Linked DNA regions of Elephas maximus indicus. The protein of the gene in region 2 interacts with the protein of the main gene of each other region in a biochemical or structural test. Links are inferred from orthologs where the notes say so. Each region holds a gene or a part of one and is shown on either strand. Other genes may lie near its edges.

Region 1 (7,722 bases), on a different chromosome or scaffold from region 2:
TCTAACTACAGGTCTTTGCACATTTCATTATAATAATTTACTTTGTCTTCTTCAGCCACCCTTTGAAATCTGTTCAGCTCTTTTACTTCATTATTTCTTCAATTCTCTTTAGCTACTCTAAGTTCAAGAGTAAGTTTCAGAGTCTCTTCTGACACCCATTTGGTCTTTCTTTCCTGCCTTTTTAATGATGTCTTGCTTTCTTCATGTATGTTGTCCTTGATGTCATCCCACAATTCATCTAGTTTTCCATCATTAGTGTTCAATGTGTCAAATCTATTCTTGAGATGGTTTCTAAATTCGGATGGGATATACTCAAGATCGTACTTTGGCTTTCAAGGACTTTAGTTTTCTTCAGCTTCAACTTGAATTTGTATATGAGCAATTGATGGTCTGTTGGCCCAGGACTTGTTATGGCTGATGATAAATACTTGAGTGGTGCAAGTTGTTAAGCACTTGGCTACTAACCAAAAGGCTAGTGGTTAGAACCCACTCAGAGATGCCTCCAAAGAAAGGTCTGGTCATCTGCTTCCAAAAGACTACAGCCTTGAAAATCCTCTGGAGTGCAGTTCTACTTTGCAGCTCCTGGAGTCACCATGCATTGGAATCGACTGGACTCCAACCGGTAAAGCATGTCCTTGAAAATGCCACTAAGTTTTCTACAAATACAAGATGGGCATATGTCTTTGAGATACTTCCCATGGCTGCAAATTCTACATTGGAAATATTGCATCTATTTCACTGTTTATCATTTCAAGTATTTATCATCAGTCATAACAAGTCCTGGGCCAACAGACCATCAATTGCTCATATGCAAATTTAAGCTGAAGCTGAAGACAACTAAAACAAGTCCTTGAGAGCCAAAGTACGATGTTGAGTACATCCAACTGAATTTAGAAACCATCTCAAGAACAGACTTGGAGCATTGAACACTAATGACGGAAAACCAGATGAATTGTGGGATGACATCAAGGACAACATACATGAAGAAAGCAAGACATCATTAAAAAGGCAGGAAAGAAAGACCAAATGGGTGTCAGAAGAGACTCTGAAACTTACTCTTGAACTTAGAGTAGCTAAAGAGAATTGAAGAAACGATGAAGTAAAAGAGCTGAACAAAAAATTTCAATGTGTGGCTGAAGGCATTCCCCAGACTCTGAAACAGACCCCACTTAAGTTCTTTTCACCACAATCCAATGAAAATTTCTGGATTCCAAACTCAGAAAACAGTCAAATGGTTTTGTTAAGCACCACTCCCTCTCAAAAGCAATGTCTTGAACTCATTCACCATGTATTTCAGTCCTTTGCAGGAAGATCTTCCTCATCATCAGGGGCCTCACTCAGTGATGGCAGGCTACCAGGGAAGAACAGAGAGGGCACTGCCCTTTTTTATTTCTCTTCTGGGACAAGGCGATGGACCAAGAGTGAAATTTAATTACCATCTCACACTTGGTGAAATGTAAAAACAACCTCCATCAAAGTAAAATGCATTACAACTGCTTTTTGCTTTATTTGGACTGAAGAGCAAAACCATTTCTTCTAACTAGAGTGAAGTCTACATATCAAAAAGCTTAACAGAGGTTTGCATATGTTAATATAACACCCTGCCCTGCTCTCCCCACACCCTTTCCCTGCTCTGCTTTTCTCCTTAGCATTGGGTCCTTCATGATCTATTGATTATGTTCTTGTTCATTGTCTGCCTCCCCTACTAGCATGGGAGCATCACAAGAGCAGGGATTTTGTCTGCTTTGCTCACTGCTGTACCCCAGCAGTGTCTGATAGATGGTTGGTGTCTTCAGCTGGATTCTTCTGAAATCAGATGAGAATTCGGGGATAGATGGTTTATTTGGGTGATGATCCCAGGGAGTAGATACAAGAAAATGAGAAGAGAGAGAAAGACAGGGAAGGCGGCAAAGCCAATTAAAGTGGTGTTATCAAGGTCACTGCTGCAGATGAAGGGGAGTCAAGGATCTTGGGGGAAGTTCCAGAAGCTTTTGGAATGGTCCATAGGGAGAGCAGAAGACTGGAAGTTCCCATTCCTTGCTGGTTGAGCATTGCCCTCAGGGGAGTTAACACCCTCGCATACCAGCTGAGCCTCTGTGGGGGCTGAGCTTTGAACAGAGAAGTAGAGGGGAGCTTTGGAGGCTTGAGGAGGGAATGCTGTCCTTGCTCTCAAAACTGCCCAGCCAGAAGTGGAAGGCAGATCTGTGGAAACAGGTACCAAAAGCATCTGCCTCAGGAGCATCGAGCAAGGATTTGTTAGTGAACAAATGGATTCTCCTTGGTGCAGATATGCCATATAAGAAAAGCTCAGGCTCCTGCCCATCTTGCTTAATAACTAAGAACAACGGTGAGAATTATTAGCACCCTCAGAAACCCTGGTGGCCTAGTGGTTAAGTGCTATGACTGCTAACCAAGAGGTCACCAGTTCAAATTCACCAGGCGCTCTTTGGAAATTCTATGAGGCAGTTCTACTCTGTCCTATAGGGTCGCTATATGAATCGGAATGGATTCGATGGCAGCGGGTTTGATTTTGGTCTAACCCATTAAGAAGGAAAAAATCATTATTGTGTTCAGGTTCCTTTTTGGTTTTTAATTTTCCCAGAGGATCTTCTTTAACACTTTCCTGTCCAGTATTCTCATTCCTGGGGCAAAGTGGCCACAACTTTATGGCAAATGAAAGAGGCCCCCTTGATGGTCCCTTCTTCATATCATAGTCCTTGTCACCTTTGGCTTTGCCTTGTGACATTCCTCTCCAGCCCCTTGGCCACCCCTTCTCTGGCTCTTTCCTCCATTCATTCCTTCAAGCTGTCACTCTTCCCACCACCCCCAGACTGGTGATCACCACCCTACCCTAAAGTTTGAGAACCACGGTTCTATAACAAGTTTGTATTTCTAGACCTGTCTTGGCCATGGTCACAAATATAACCAGCTCCCCTAACTGAACTACGCGCACATTTAGCAACCTCTTGAAAAACCACCTGAAACCCTGCTGGTGTAGTGGTTAAATGCTACGGCTGCTAACCAAAGGGTCGGCAGTTCGAATCCGCCAGGCGATCCTTGGAAACTCTATGGGGTAGTTCTACTCTGTCCTATAGGGTCACTATGAGTCGGAATCGACTGGACGGCACTGGGTTTTGTTTTGAAAAACCACTGGAAAGCAGTTAGCCAGCTGCTCAGTTTTTAAAACGCTGCCTTTGATTGCAGAAAGATAGCTGCTCCTCGGGTTTGGGGGGTGGCGTTTCAACCCCCACGCGGGTGCCCCACAGACCTGCCACCTCGGGAGCCCCTACCGGCAGAGCTGAATAGGGATTCCGATTTGAAAGAAAGGTTTCCAGATCTCTGCCCGGCCTTCGGTGGTGCGGTGGTGAGGAGCTGCTCTGCTGCTCGCCTTGGTTTGCCGTCTGCGAAACGAGGGTGGCAATGCCTACTCAGGGACGAGGCGACCTCAAGCACTAAGCCCCGGGACTGAAACCCAAACGGCTTCAGGGCGGAGATGGGTGAAGACCACGACAACACACTGGCTCGGGATCTCCCGGATCGGGAGCCAGGGTGCGACCGCGCTGGGAAGGGCGGGTGAGCGACCGGGGCGGGGTCCTTGTCGCCAAGCCTAGCAACCGGAGTTCTGGTGGGGATGAGTCCGGGGATCCGAATGCGCAAGAATGCAGGGGAGGTAGGAGATGGGATGTCGATGTCCTCAGAGGTCGGGGTTAAGGTGGGAGACAAACTGGGACACTCGCTGGCGCCACTTTGTGGCGGCTGAGAGATGCCGCGTGGGCCTCGGGTAGGTGGTGCCTCAGCCTCGAAGAAAACGCAGACCATTCCTGAGCTGGGTTCCTCTGAGCAAAGCCAGATAGTGTCATCCCCATTTTACAGCCGCAGAAAGCGAGGCCCAGGACGCCAACAGCCGGCTGTGGCCGGAGTCCATTCACTGCCCCGGAACACAGACCCTCAAAATCTTGGAGACCTTCAAGGGCTTTTAATGAGGCTGGGAAGTGAGTGACGACCCCGACTTAGCCCTCCCTCCCCCGAGGGAGCACACTAACATGTCTAGAGATGGGAGCTGCCTAGGGTGCTCGGAGAGAGGCCACATACCTTCCCTCTCAGAATTACACTTGGCTGACACTCAGCCCAGCCTGGAGTTCACTAAAGGCTTTTTCGGCTCATTCGATCCCTAAGGAGGATTAAACGCAAGAAGCTTCTCCATCCTGCGGGAGACTCCGACACCCAGGTCTACTGCCCTGACTAGCAAGGCGCTGGAATGGGCAAGGGAGAGGGAGCTGGATAGAGTTGGAGGAGGAAGCGCCTGGAACAGAGAGGAGGGCTGGCCACCCGGCACCCGGCAGGGACAGGTTAACCCGACTACACTAGGCCCTTTCCCCCTGTCCTCCAGGAGCCACCTCAATCGGTTGTCGCCCTAGTGGCCGCCATCTGAGCACGTGTTGCAGCCCGTTTGCGTCAGCGCTGGGAAAATAGATGACTGGACAGCAGTGCCGGGCGGGGCTATTTAAGAGGCAGCCGCCCGCCCACCCTGAACTTGGCTTGGGCTGCCTGCTGCTCTGGTGGGAACGCGAAGCCATCTGCGTTCTTCTCCAAAGGTAGGTTTGCCCTCCCGCCAAAGCGGAATCCAAGGGTCTTTTGTCGTAGGAATGGTGTCTTCAGTTTTGTGCCCCTTTGCATTTTATTCTTCGGTTTTCGTGTCTTCCCTCCGACCGCTTGAATGCCATTTCTTCAAGTCAGAAATAACAGCCCTACATCTAACAATGCATGCTGGGCGGGTGAAGCTGCTTTCGAGACTTTCACGGACGCGCATCCTTGTTTTAAGCGCACAACGCTGTAATATCCTTTGGCAAAGGATGAGCATTCAAAGTGGAATTTGTTAGATTTTACGCAGAGGTGCTGTGGACTTTGCCATCTTTTCAAATAAAATACCTAGAAGTTTTTAAAATTTAAATTCACTTTGTAAATACTGCAGAAAATTCAGTGTTTGGGGGTAGGCATCTGCGGGTGTTTAATCTGCTCGCGAGTCTGAAACGCAGCGGGACTTTGCCAATGACTGACGGCTGAGCGCATATCACTGATTTTAAAAACCCTGCCTGTGTTTAGCTAATGATTTGGTGCCATTTCATGTAGATCCTGAAGAAACTTTCCAAATATGGCTTTTGTCCATTGCTCCCACATTTTTAACTGTGCTTCTATTTTCTCACCATTTATTTCCCTACCAAAAGCTTCTTCGCTATCTGGAAACCTGCTACCTTTCTTCAAAGGTTCGCACGTTTTCTTAATCCCTTGCTTTTCCAGTTAGAAGGCAGACTCTCTACTAACATTTCTTCAACATAAAGGAAAGCAGAAAACATTCTTTCTGCTAAGCATCGCAGAAAACAGGGGCCTCTGCGCGCTCCCCGAACACCGGGTGTGGTTTACCCAAAGACAAGCCTGGTGCACCCTGACGCGCGTGCTGTGGCCACCGTACTCGAGTCTGCGCCCAGCGAGTCCTTTTGCCTGTGCTAGCCTGGCTCGTCCGGAGCGACCCGTGCTTGGGCTGAAACCCTTCTCTGTGCCCTGGCTCCCCCTACTCCCCGCAGGAGCCCACCTGGGCCCCACCTTTTGGTTAACTGCCGCCACCCCCGCCCCCTTGCTCTCCACAGCCATGAATAACGGCGTGCGCCTGTGCGTGCTGATGGCTGTACTGGCGGCGGGCGCCCTGGTGCAGCCCGCGCCCCCGGCTGATCCCGCTGGCCCCGGGGTGCAGCGAGCAGAGGAGGCGCCCCGGAGGCCGCTGAGGGCAGTTCAGAGGGTGGACGGCGAGCCCCGAGCGCACCTGGGAGCGCTGCTGGCCAGATATATCCAGCAGGCCCGGAAAGGTAAGGATGGCGCCTCTCCATCCCTCACGTCTGCCCAGGATCAGGGCTCCCAATCCTTAGCCTCTCCCCTAGCGCCCTACTGATGGAGATACCTCTTGGGGCAAACGCAGGCGATAGGTTAAGCTAAAAGGTTTTTCATTTTCCTTTGCCTGGCTATACCTCACTAGACGTTTCAGTTTTCTGAACATACTTTGTAGCAAACTCGGGGAGGGGGGGCGGAGGGAGGAGGGGCAGGAAGCGGTTTTATTAGGAAGATGAAGCTTTTTAAAAGGTTTCTTTGAACTAATTTTTGGCCCGGTGTTGCTAAGTTCAAGGCATTTTATGAAGACATTAAAAGATAAGATTTAAATTCGCTTTGCAAATATGAATTTAAATGTATGTAGAGCTCTCTAAAAGGGTTCACATAACCAGTAAATAGTCTGTTGTAGATGCAAAGAAACCTGTAGCCCCCAGATATTGGCAATTGGAAACACTCTGGCAGGATGTGATCAATACTGCCAATGCCTGAGATCTGACAACAGCAGTTAGAAAAGAAGTGACAGTGTCAGTGTTCACCAAACTACGTAATAGGAGAAAGGAATCGGTAGCAATTTGGAGTTCTTCTTGGCCATGATTGCCCAACCCTTTATTCAACCAACTCCATCCACAGTGACACTGATGGTGGGCACTTGGGCTGCGGGGCAGGTGCTCAACTGGACCAAAACATTCAGCAAATGCCTCAGGGTGAAAGTGGGAGGCAGGTAGGCTCCCTTTCCCAAGAGGCTCTCTTGCTCTACCAGATTTGACAGTTGTTGGGTACCCTAGAATGGATTCTGCCTCATAGGATCCCCATGTGACAGAGTAGAACTACCCTCTAGGATTTTCTTGGCTGTAATCCTTATGGATGAAGATTACCAGGTCTTTTCTCCCTTGGAGCTGCTGGGTGGGTTTGAACTGCCAACCTTTTGGTTAGCAGCCAAGCACTTAACCATTGCACCACCAGGTTTCCTCCTGGATTTGACTAGAGGAAGAGAAAATGGAGGGCTTGGCTCTCCAGAGTCTCCCATGGTTTCTTATGAAGGAGAGACTGGAACCTTTTCAACTAGGGGATTTCAGAGGGAAAGAGAAGTGACTCATTATATTTCTTCCTCCCTTTGGGAAATTGTTGAAACTCCCACCTTCTGTTTTGCTTTCCTGCTAATCGCATTGAAAGAGATGGAAATACTAGTAGGATAACAGAAAAGGTCTGAGAACTTTCGGGGCTCCTGGTGATTATCTGTCTGAAAGTGATTTAATATCTGACCCTGAGTTTGGGCTGAATTTCAGCCAGATCTATCTGAAACTTTCTAGGCTTTTTTTTTTTTTTTTTTCTGGAAGAAAATCTGAGAGCTAATCCACCTTGCTCCCCTCCCCACCTTCAGGAAAGATCATAGAGAAATAGTTCCAGAAAAAGCCAGTTACAACATTATTTCCCAGGTCTGATGCTTGACAGTGGCTCTCATAGCACACATCTTAGTTGGAAATTTCTTCCTCTCACTACTTCTCAACGCTTCTTCCTTGGCCTTCAGCCTGTTGTCCAAACAACCCAGGTAGGAATGGCAGTCACCTGAAACTTTAGCTGCCAACACCCACAGATTAGTGGAAGCTAGAAAACAAGCATGTGCTTCTATTTGACAAATATGAACTAGGGATAAATATATATACATTTAAAAATGGTTCGGTTTCTTTGAATATTTTACCTATTTGGAGATTGTATCAGAGTTTTACTCTGGTGGTGCAGCGGTTAAGAGTTCGGCTGCTAATCCAAAGGTCAGCAGTTCGAATCCAGCTGCTCCACAGGAGAAAAATGTGGTAACCTGTTCCCATAAATGTTACAGCCCAG
Region 2 (8,098 bases):
TCTCACCTGAATTACTGCCATGGACTCCCAGTTGGTCCCACCTCCTTAAGTTGCTCTTTACACTAGCTGCCACTGCAATCTACCTAAATCTTAACAAAGTTTGAGCCCTCCCACTGCTTCCAGAAAAAGCGAGAAGCTTACTAGCATGGCTTGCAAGGGTCTGCATTTGCTGCCTCTTGAGATGGGCGGTGTATTAGTTTTCTACTGCTGCCGTAACAAATTACCACAAATATAGTAGCTTAAAGCAACACCAATTTATTAGCTCATAGATCAGTAGACCAGAAGTCCAGCATAGTGTGGCTGAGTTCTCTGCTCAGGTTATCGCAAGGCTAAATTCTCATCTGGAGACTAGGGAAAAATCTGTTTCCAATCTCATTCTTGTCACTGCCAGAATTCAGTTCCTTATGACTAGAGTCCTTGTTTTCTTGCTGGCTGTCAGCCAGGGATTGCTCTCAGCTAGAGGCCTCCCTCAGGTACCTTCCCTGTGCCCTCCTCCATTCTCAAGCCAACAACAGGGTGTCAAATTCTTCCTGTGCTTCAAATTTCTCTGGCTTCCTTTCTGCAAACAGACTGTGAAATCACTCTGCTTTTAAAGAACTCCTGTGATTAGGAGAGACTTAGATTATCTCTCTTAAGGTCAACTTATTAGTAACATTAATTTCATCTCCAAAATCCCTTTTGCCATAAGAGGTGATATAATCACAGAAGCGATATCTCATTATATGCACAGGCTCCACCCACACTCAAGGAAAAAAGATTTTAAACGGTGAGGGTCATTGGGGCTCATTTTTTAATTCTGCCTGCCACAGGTAGGGAAGCCAGGGAAAGCTTCACTGAGGAATTGCTGCTTGAGCTGAGATCAGAAGGTTGAGTAGGAGATAAGGCAGTAAGGAAGGAAAGGAGCTTCCAGAAAGAGCTAACCCAAAACAAAAACCAAACCCACTGCCGTCGAGTCAATTCCGACTCACAGCGACCCTATAGGACAGAGTAGAACTGCCCCGTAGAGTTTTCAAGGAGCACCTGGTGGATTTGAACTGCCGACCTCTTGGTTAAGAGCTGTAGCACTTAACCACTATGCCACCAGGGTTTCTGAAAGAGCTAACAGCATATGCAAAGACCATGTAGCTGAAGGAATTAAAGCAAATGAAAGGGACTAAAGGAAGTCCAGCATGTCTACAGTGGAGAGAACAAGGGCCATAGTGGCCTGAGATAAGTTGGAGAGGCAGGTAGGAGCCAAACCACACAGATTTTGCAGGCCCTGTTAAAGGGTTTGCTTGCAGAAGAGTGGGATAATCAAATTTATTTTCTGAAACATTACTCAGGCTATAAGGTAGTGGATGGGCATAAGAAAGCATCAGTAAAATGTGGTAGACCACTTAGGCTGGGAGAGTAGTACAAGAGCTCGAGATGCCAGTAGGGTAATGTCAGTAAGACGGAAGCAGACTGATTCAAGGAACACTTGTTGTTAGCTGCCAACGAGTCAGCTCCAACTCATAGTGACCCTGTGTACAACAGAACAAAACACTGCCCAGTCCTGTGCCATCCTCATAATCATTGTTATGCTTGAGCCCATTGTTGTAGCCACTGCGTCAATCCATCTCATTGAGGGTCTTCCTGTTTTTCGCTGACCCTCTAAGAAGCATAATGTCCTTATCCAGGGACTGATTCCTCCTGATAACACGTCCAAAGTATGTGAGAAAAAGTCTCACCATCCTTGCTTCTAAGGAATATTCTGGATGCACTTCTTCCAAGACAGGTTCATTCGTTCTTTTGGCAGTTCATAGTATATTCGATATTCTTCTCCAATACCGCAATTCAAAAGCATCAATTCTTCTGTCTTCCTTGTTCATCACCCATTTTCCATGCATATGAGGCAATTGAAAATACCATGACTTGGGTCAGGTGCACGTTAGTCCTAAAATGACATCTTTGCTTTTTAACACTTTAAAGGGGTCTTTTGCAGCAGATTTGCCCAGTTCAATGCATCTTTTCATTTCTTGACTGCTTCTTCCATGGGTGTTGATTGTGGATCCAAAGTAAAATGACATCCTTGACAACTTCAGTCTTTTCTCCATTTATCATGATGTTGATTATTGGTCCAGTTGTGTGGATTTTTGTTTTGTTTATGTTGAGGTGTAATCCATACTGAAGGCTGTGGTCTTTGATCTTCATCAGGAAGTTTCAAGTCCTCTTTGCTTTCAGCAAGCAAGGTTGTGTCACCTGCATAACGCAAGTTGTTAATGAGCCTTCCTGGAATCCTGATGCCCCATTCTTCTTTATATAGTCCAGCTTCTCGGATTATTTGCTCAGACTGAATAGGTATGGTGAAAGGATATAACCCTGACACACACCTTTCCTGACTTTAGGTCACGCAGTATTCCCCTTGTTCTTTTCGAAAGACTGTCTCTTGATCTATGTATAGGCTCTTCATGAGCACAATTAAGGGTTCTGAAATTTCCATTCTTTGCAATGTTATCCATGAGTTGTTAGAATCCGCACAGTTGAATTCCTCTGCATAGTCAATAAAACACAGGTAAACATCTTTCTGGTACTCTCTGCTTTCAACCAAGATCCTTTTGAGATCAGCTATGATATCCCTGGTTCCATGTCCTCTTCTGAACCTGGCTTGAATTTCGGTAGTTCCCTGTCGATATACTGCTGCAGCTGCTTTTGAATGATCTTCAGCAAGATTTTACTTGTATGTGATATTAATGATATTGTTCGATAATTTCCAAATTCAGTTGGACCACCTTTCTTGGGAATAGGCATAAATATGGAGCTCTTCCAGCTGGTGGGCCAGGTAGCTGTCTTCCAAATTGCTTGGCAGCAGGACTTTGTGATTGATTGGGTATGAGAGTAATGCAGTTGGAATTCTCAAGAAGTAGACTCTAAAACAGAGATGTTTACTAAGAGCGTTCTTGGAGTCAACACCTGTGCAAGAGAGAGGACAAAAACAGAACTGGGCAAAGGGAGAAGCTAAGCAGTAATTTAGTCCCAATGAAGGCCTCTGTCAACCCCATAAGGAGCTCTGGGGCTGTAAATGTCATTCAGAGTTGTCCTCCATTGGGATGAGGACTTTATACCTCTGCACTGATCAGTCATTAGATTTAGGATAGTGGGTTTAGAAAGCAAACATCACCTTGGATAAACCAGCTCTCTTCAGCTCAGGTATGAAATTGAGAATAAATCCAGCTTGAGATAAGAATAAATCCTTCATTTTTGAAGGGGTCTGGGTTTTGCATCACAGCCTCCACCACAGGAATGAAGGCATTAAGGGTGATTCCTAAATTTCTGACTTGCGCAACCTGGTGGGTGCATTTATGACATATATTGCAAGCATTTTTCCCCACTAGATTGGGAGCTACTCAAGCACAGACTGTATTGGACAGCCAGGGTTCAGCCCTATAGCTGGCACATACTTTGTTGAATAAGTGAATGACTGTCCATGACTCCTATTTCCACCTTTCTCTCCTCAACATTCCCTTTTCTCCCCTACCCTCACTTCGCCCCTCCATCCAATGTGGGAAAAGTACAGCAGGTTATCTGAGGCCCCACCTGGGCTGCCTCTGAATAAACAGCAAATCAGGCTCCTCTGATGGGCAAGGCAGGTACTGCCAGGAGGAAGGAAAGAGGGGCAGGTGAGGACATCCCCAGCCACCTCAGGCTGAAACCCTCCTTCAGTGCTCCAGCCGCAATCAGCTCAGCGCTGGATGGACCAGGTCCTCTGAATTCCCCATAAACCCGGAACCCATCCCCACGCTAATCTGCTCTTTGACTGATGCCCCCACCTCTTGCAGCTACTGATGGGGACTGGAGTTTGTTAGGAATACAGGAGGATGGATAGCTGGCAGTGCTGAAATATTAGGGGGCGTCCTGCCCTAAGAAGCTGAACCCACCTCAGTCCTGCACACGCCCCCTGTTCCTTTGTTGCCGCTGCCCCTCGGTGACCCAGCCCCCTTCTGGCCCCCTCTCGTGGGAACCAGGCGCACTACACCGGCCGCTCCACCTGCGCTGAGAGCAAACACCGAGCCATCAGCGTGTTGGGTGGGAGTGGGCGCTGCCTGGAAACCGCGGAGAAAGCCAGCCAGCCTCTTCCTCCCCTTTTCTGCCTGCGCTGGGCTCGGATTGGAACCATCCTCTATCTCATCCCCGTTTATCCCGGGCACTTCTCACCACCACCTCTGGCCGCTCTCAAAGTCCAAGTCAGACTCTTCCTCCAGGCAGCCCTTTCCCCTGCCAAGGCTTTCCTGGGGACAAATGCGCTCCTTCTCCCCCGCCCTCCCCTGCCAGCTACTGGAAGTTCTTTTGAGCCTTGGGTGGAAGCCTGGGTTTGGGCCTTGGGTAGGAGGTGGAGAGTGCCGGGGCAGATGCAGAGGCTACCCCAGCCCTGCGGTGACGAGCTGAGGGGCATTAGGTTAGCGAGAGTGCCGAGGTCACTGGCCACTCCGCGCCTCTCTGGGGCTAAAGCAACTGCGCTGCAGCGGGTGACCCCCACACGCAGCCCTTGTCTCCGACGCCACCTGCACGTTCCCTACCCCATCCAAAGAGATACAGGAACCCGGGGCAGTAGCGCCCTACTCCACCCCTCTTATCCCCCCACCCCGCATCGGCCCCTCCCACCAACAAACACACACACACACACACATAACATCTCTTTCTCTCTCTGGCCTTCTGGCTCTCTCTCTCCCCAAGATTTCCCCGGAATCGGGGGCGGGGGAAGAGAGAGGGAAGGAAATCTCTAAGAGAAGACTGGAGAGATCCAGGGAGTGGGGGGACCCTTGGAGGACAGTCTCGCAGGGAGGGGGCGGGTGAGTCCGCAGCAGGGGGCGGGGGCGGAGGCATCACCTGGCCGGACAGACGCGGCCCCGCGCCAGGGAGGCACCAGTGCCCCGGCAGGGCGCGCAGAGCAGAGCTGAGGCGTGGGGCCGGAGCTGGGGCGGGGACCAGACGGGCGCGGGGGGCGGGGGCGTCTGAGCCTGAATCGCAGCGTGAGCAGGTGGAGCCGCGGCAGGAGCCCGCCCGGCCCAGCGGACGGAGGCAGCTGGCCCCGCTGGGGCCATGGAGCTGCTGAGGCTGAACCGGAGCGTGCCGGGACCCGGACCTGGGTCGGGGGCTTCTCTGTGCCGCCCAGGGGGCCTCCTCCTCAACGGCAGCAGTGCCAGCAACCTCAGCTGCGAGTCCCCACGCATCCGCGGAGCCGGGACACGAGGTGGGTGCCTCCCTAACCTTCCTCACAAGCTCCTTCTCACAGCACCCTACAGCAGTAATAGAAGCTCCCCACGCCCTCCACACTGCCGCCTCAAACGGCCACACCATCTCCTTGGGAGTACTCCCTCAGCTGCCCCTCACACAGACGACCCCCCACCACCACACCAGCTCCTCACAGCCCTCCCCACAACACACATCCCCCTCCTTGACCCAGAGAGTTGGGAGACAAGGACCTCTTCTTGTCAACCCTTGGAGATATCTCTTTTCCTTTTACATCCAGTTCCTGGTGCCACGCTGGGGAAGGGAGGGAAGAAAGGAAGGGAAGATTGAGAAAAGAAGGGATCTGGTTAGAGGAGGGAGCATTCTGGAAGGCCTGAATGGGAAGTTAGAGCTGTAATCTCCTCTGTCCCCCACCATAAGCCCCAGCCCTCCCAAAGGAGATCCTCATGCCTGACCCCCTAAGGGCTGCTCCCCATTTCACTCCTCCAACCCCTCATGAGTCGGAATCAACTCGACGGCACTGGGTACTGCCTTCAAACCCCTCTATCTCCCAAGTTGAGGTTCTTCTCAAGGCTCTGTACTCTCTCTCTCTGTCTCCAAGTCTCCAGGCCCCCTCTGCATCCTGCCTATCCTTAAATCTCACCCTCTCCATGAGCCAGCCTGCCCACTCCATAGCCTCCGTCCCTTTGTGCCACCATCTTCTCCCCCTTCCTACCCTCCTCAGACTACTTCCAATCACCCAGTCCCCAAGAGAGATTTTCAATCCTCTCATCAGCTCACATCATCATTTTCTTGATAATTCCTGCACCCCTCCTTTCTTTAAATGTTTATCGAACACCTGATCTCCCAGTTCTGGGGACACAAAGATGTCCCCATAGTCAAGTACAGAGGAGAGACAAGCCAATGGATAAATCACGGTCAGCGTGGCCAGTGGCGTGAGAGGGTCTGAACTGTCAACACTTAAAGGACAGAATTAATTAGTTCAGACTGATGGGGACCAAGAACTTCAAGAGGAGGGGAGCTGACTCTTAGAATTGGAGTTCTGTAGGCAGAAAAGGGAGGAGGGCAATTCTAGGAGAGGAAACAGTGTTAAGAAGGGAATAGTTAGAATGCACTGTAGTTCAAGCATTGATTTACTCCACAAACTAATAATGCATGCTTTCTCAGCTCAGTTGTTACACACACTCACTTAGATTCTTTCAGTCAACAAATATTTACCGAACCAGAGACTGTGCTAGGTACCGGGGAATGAGTTGAACGAAACTGAAACAGTCTCTACTTCATGGAGCTCACAGTTTAGTGGTGGGGACAGACAAGTAATCAGGGAATTGCAGCCCCAAATGAAAAGTGCCTTATAGGGTTGTGGGAACACAGAAGACAAGCACCAAACCCAGACTTGGAAATCAAGTCTGAGGAAGTGATATCTAAGGTGAAATCAGATAGATGAGAGAGATCCAGCCAAGCGAGGGGGAAGAAGAGGCAAAAAAAAAAAAAAGCATCCCAAGCAGAGGAAAGTATGTGTAAAAGCCCAAAGTGTAAATTCATGGCACTTTTAATCAGTGTGACATAGTTTCTGACTGACTTGTACCATCTGAGGGGAATAATGAACGCTCAGGCTGGAGATCAAACTAGTGTATTTACGGACTCTTATAGACCCAGCTAAAGGGTGTGGATTTTATCCTGAAGGCAGTGGGAACAACTAAAAGGTTTTAAACCAGGATTCGTTGTATAGTGTAGAGGATGGATTGGAGGACATGAGACGGAGGACAGAGGAACACTTTAGAAGGCTATTACAGTTATCCAGGTGAAACAAGATGCTTAGACAAAGGTACTGGCAATGGAGATGGAGAGAAGAGCCACTTCTGGAAGCAGAATCAACAAGACTTGGTGATTGATTAGAAGTGGGGTGGGAGGGAGAGGTCAAGGGATGAAACCCAGGTTTCTAGCTTGAGTAATTGGATGGATGTTGGTGCTTTATAATGAGAAGGATAACAAAGGAGCATAAACAACTTTGGAAGGGATTATAAATTCAGTTTGGAACCCACTGAGTTTAAATGCCAGTGAGACATCCAGGTTAAATTGCCCAGTAGGCTGTTGAATCTGTGGGTCTGGAGCTTCAGGGAGAAGTCTGAGCTATTAATACAGACTTGAAAGGCCTTTGCCTAGAGGAGGTAATGGAAGCCATGGGAATAGATAAAATCATCCAAAGATTGTGTAGAATGAAAAGAAAAGAAGTCCTAGGAAAGGACCCTGGGGAAACCCAATATTTAAAAGCCAGGCAAAGGAAGGAGAGTCCATGGAATAGATTTAGACCAAACTATCAGAGAGACAGGAGCTATGTCCTTCCAGAAGTCAAGGGAAAAGACAGTTTCAAGCAGGGTGGGATCCAAAACCAAACTCACTGTCCTTGAGTCGATTCCAATTCACAGCAACCATATGCGACAGGGTAGAACTGCACCGTGGGGTTTCCAGGCTATAATCTTTACGGAAGCAGACTGCTACATCTTTCTCCTGCGGAGTGGCTGGTGGGTTCTAACCACCACCTCTCAGTTAGCAGTCAAGTGCTTAACCACTGCACCACGAGGGCTTCTTTTTAGGGTAGGGTAAATGATGTCAAACACTGGCAATATAGTTGGAAAAGGGCAGAACAGTGACCTTCATATTCAACAGCAAGAAAGTTCTTAGGTAGAATTGTGGGTGCTGAGGCCTGACTGCAGTAGGTTAAAGGTTGGGCCAGTGGGAGAGGGGGTTTGAGAAGTGAACTAGGGTGTGTAGACAAAACTTTCAAGAAATTTTGTAGGGAGAGAGAGAAACAAAGGAAAAACAGGATAGTGCTGGAAAATGCATTAGATTGAGGAAGGAGTGTGTGTGTGTGTGTGTGTGTGTGTGT

Evidence for each region. The genes of interacting proteins can lie anywhere in the genome.
Region 1: the proteins of CCKBR (region 2) and CCK form a complex in vitro, tested with the Homo sapiens proteins (3 studies listed by BioGRID). The link is inferred for Elephas maximus indicus from reciprocal best matches to the Homo sapiens genes CCKBR and CCK.

The regions. Positions count from the first base shown.
Region 1 is NC_064838.1:46,705,095-46,712,816, reverse strand, and holds the start of CCK (cholecystokinin), read left to right. Parts: upstream 1-4,544; 5' UTR 4,545-4,595; intron 4,596-5,645; 5' UTR 5,646-5,647; coding exon 5,648-5,861; intron 5,862-7,722. UniProt on the Homo sapiens protein: This peptide hormone induces gall bladder contraction and the release of pancreatic enzymes in the gut. Its function in the brain is not clear.
Region 2 is NC_064825.1:59,927,399-59,935,496, forward strand, and holds the start of CCKBR (gastrin/cholecystokinin type B receptor), read left to right. Parts: upstream 1-5,006; 5' UTR 5,007-5,058; coding exon 5,059-5,209; intron 5,210-8,098. UniProt on the Homo sapiens protein: Receptor for gastrin and cholecystokinin. The CCK-B receptors occur throughout the central nervous system where they modulate anxiety, analgesia, arousal, and neuroleptic activity.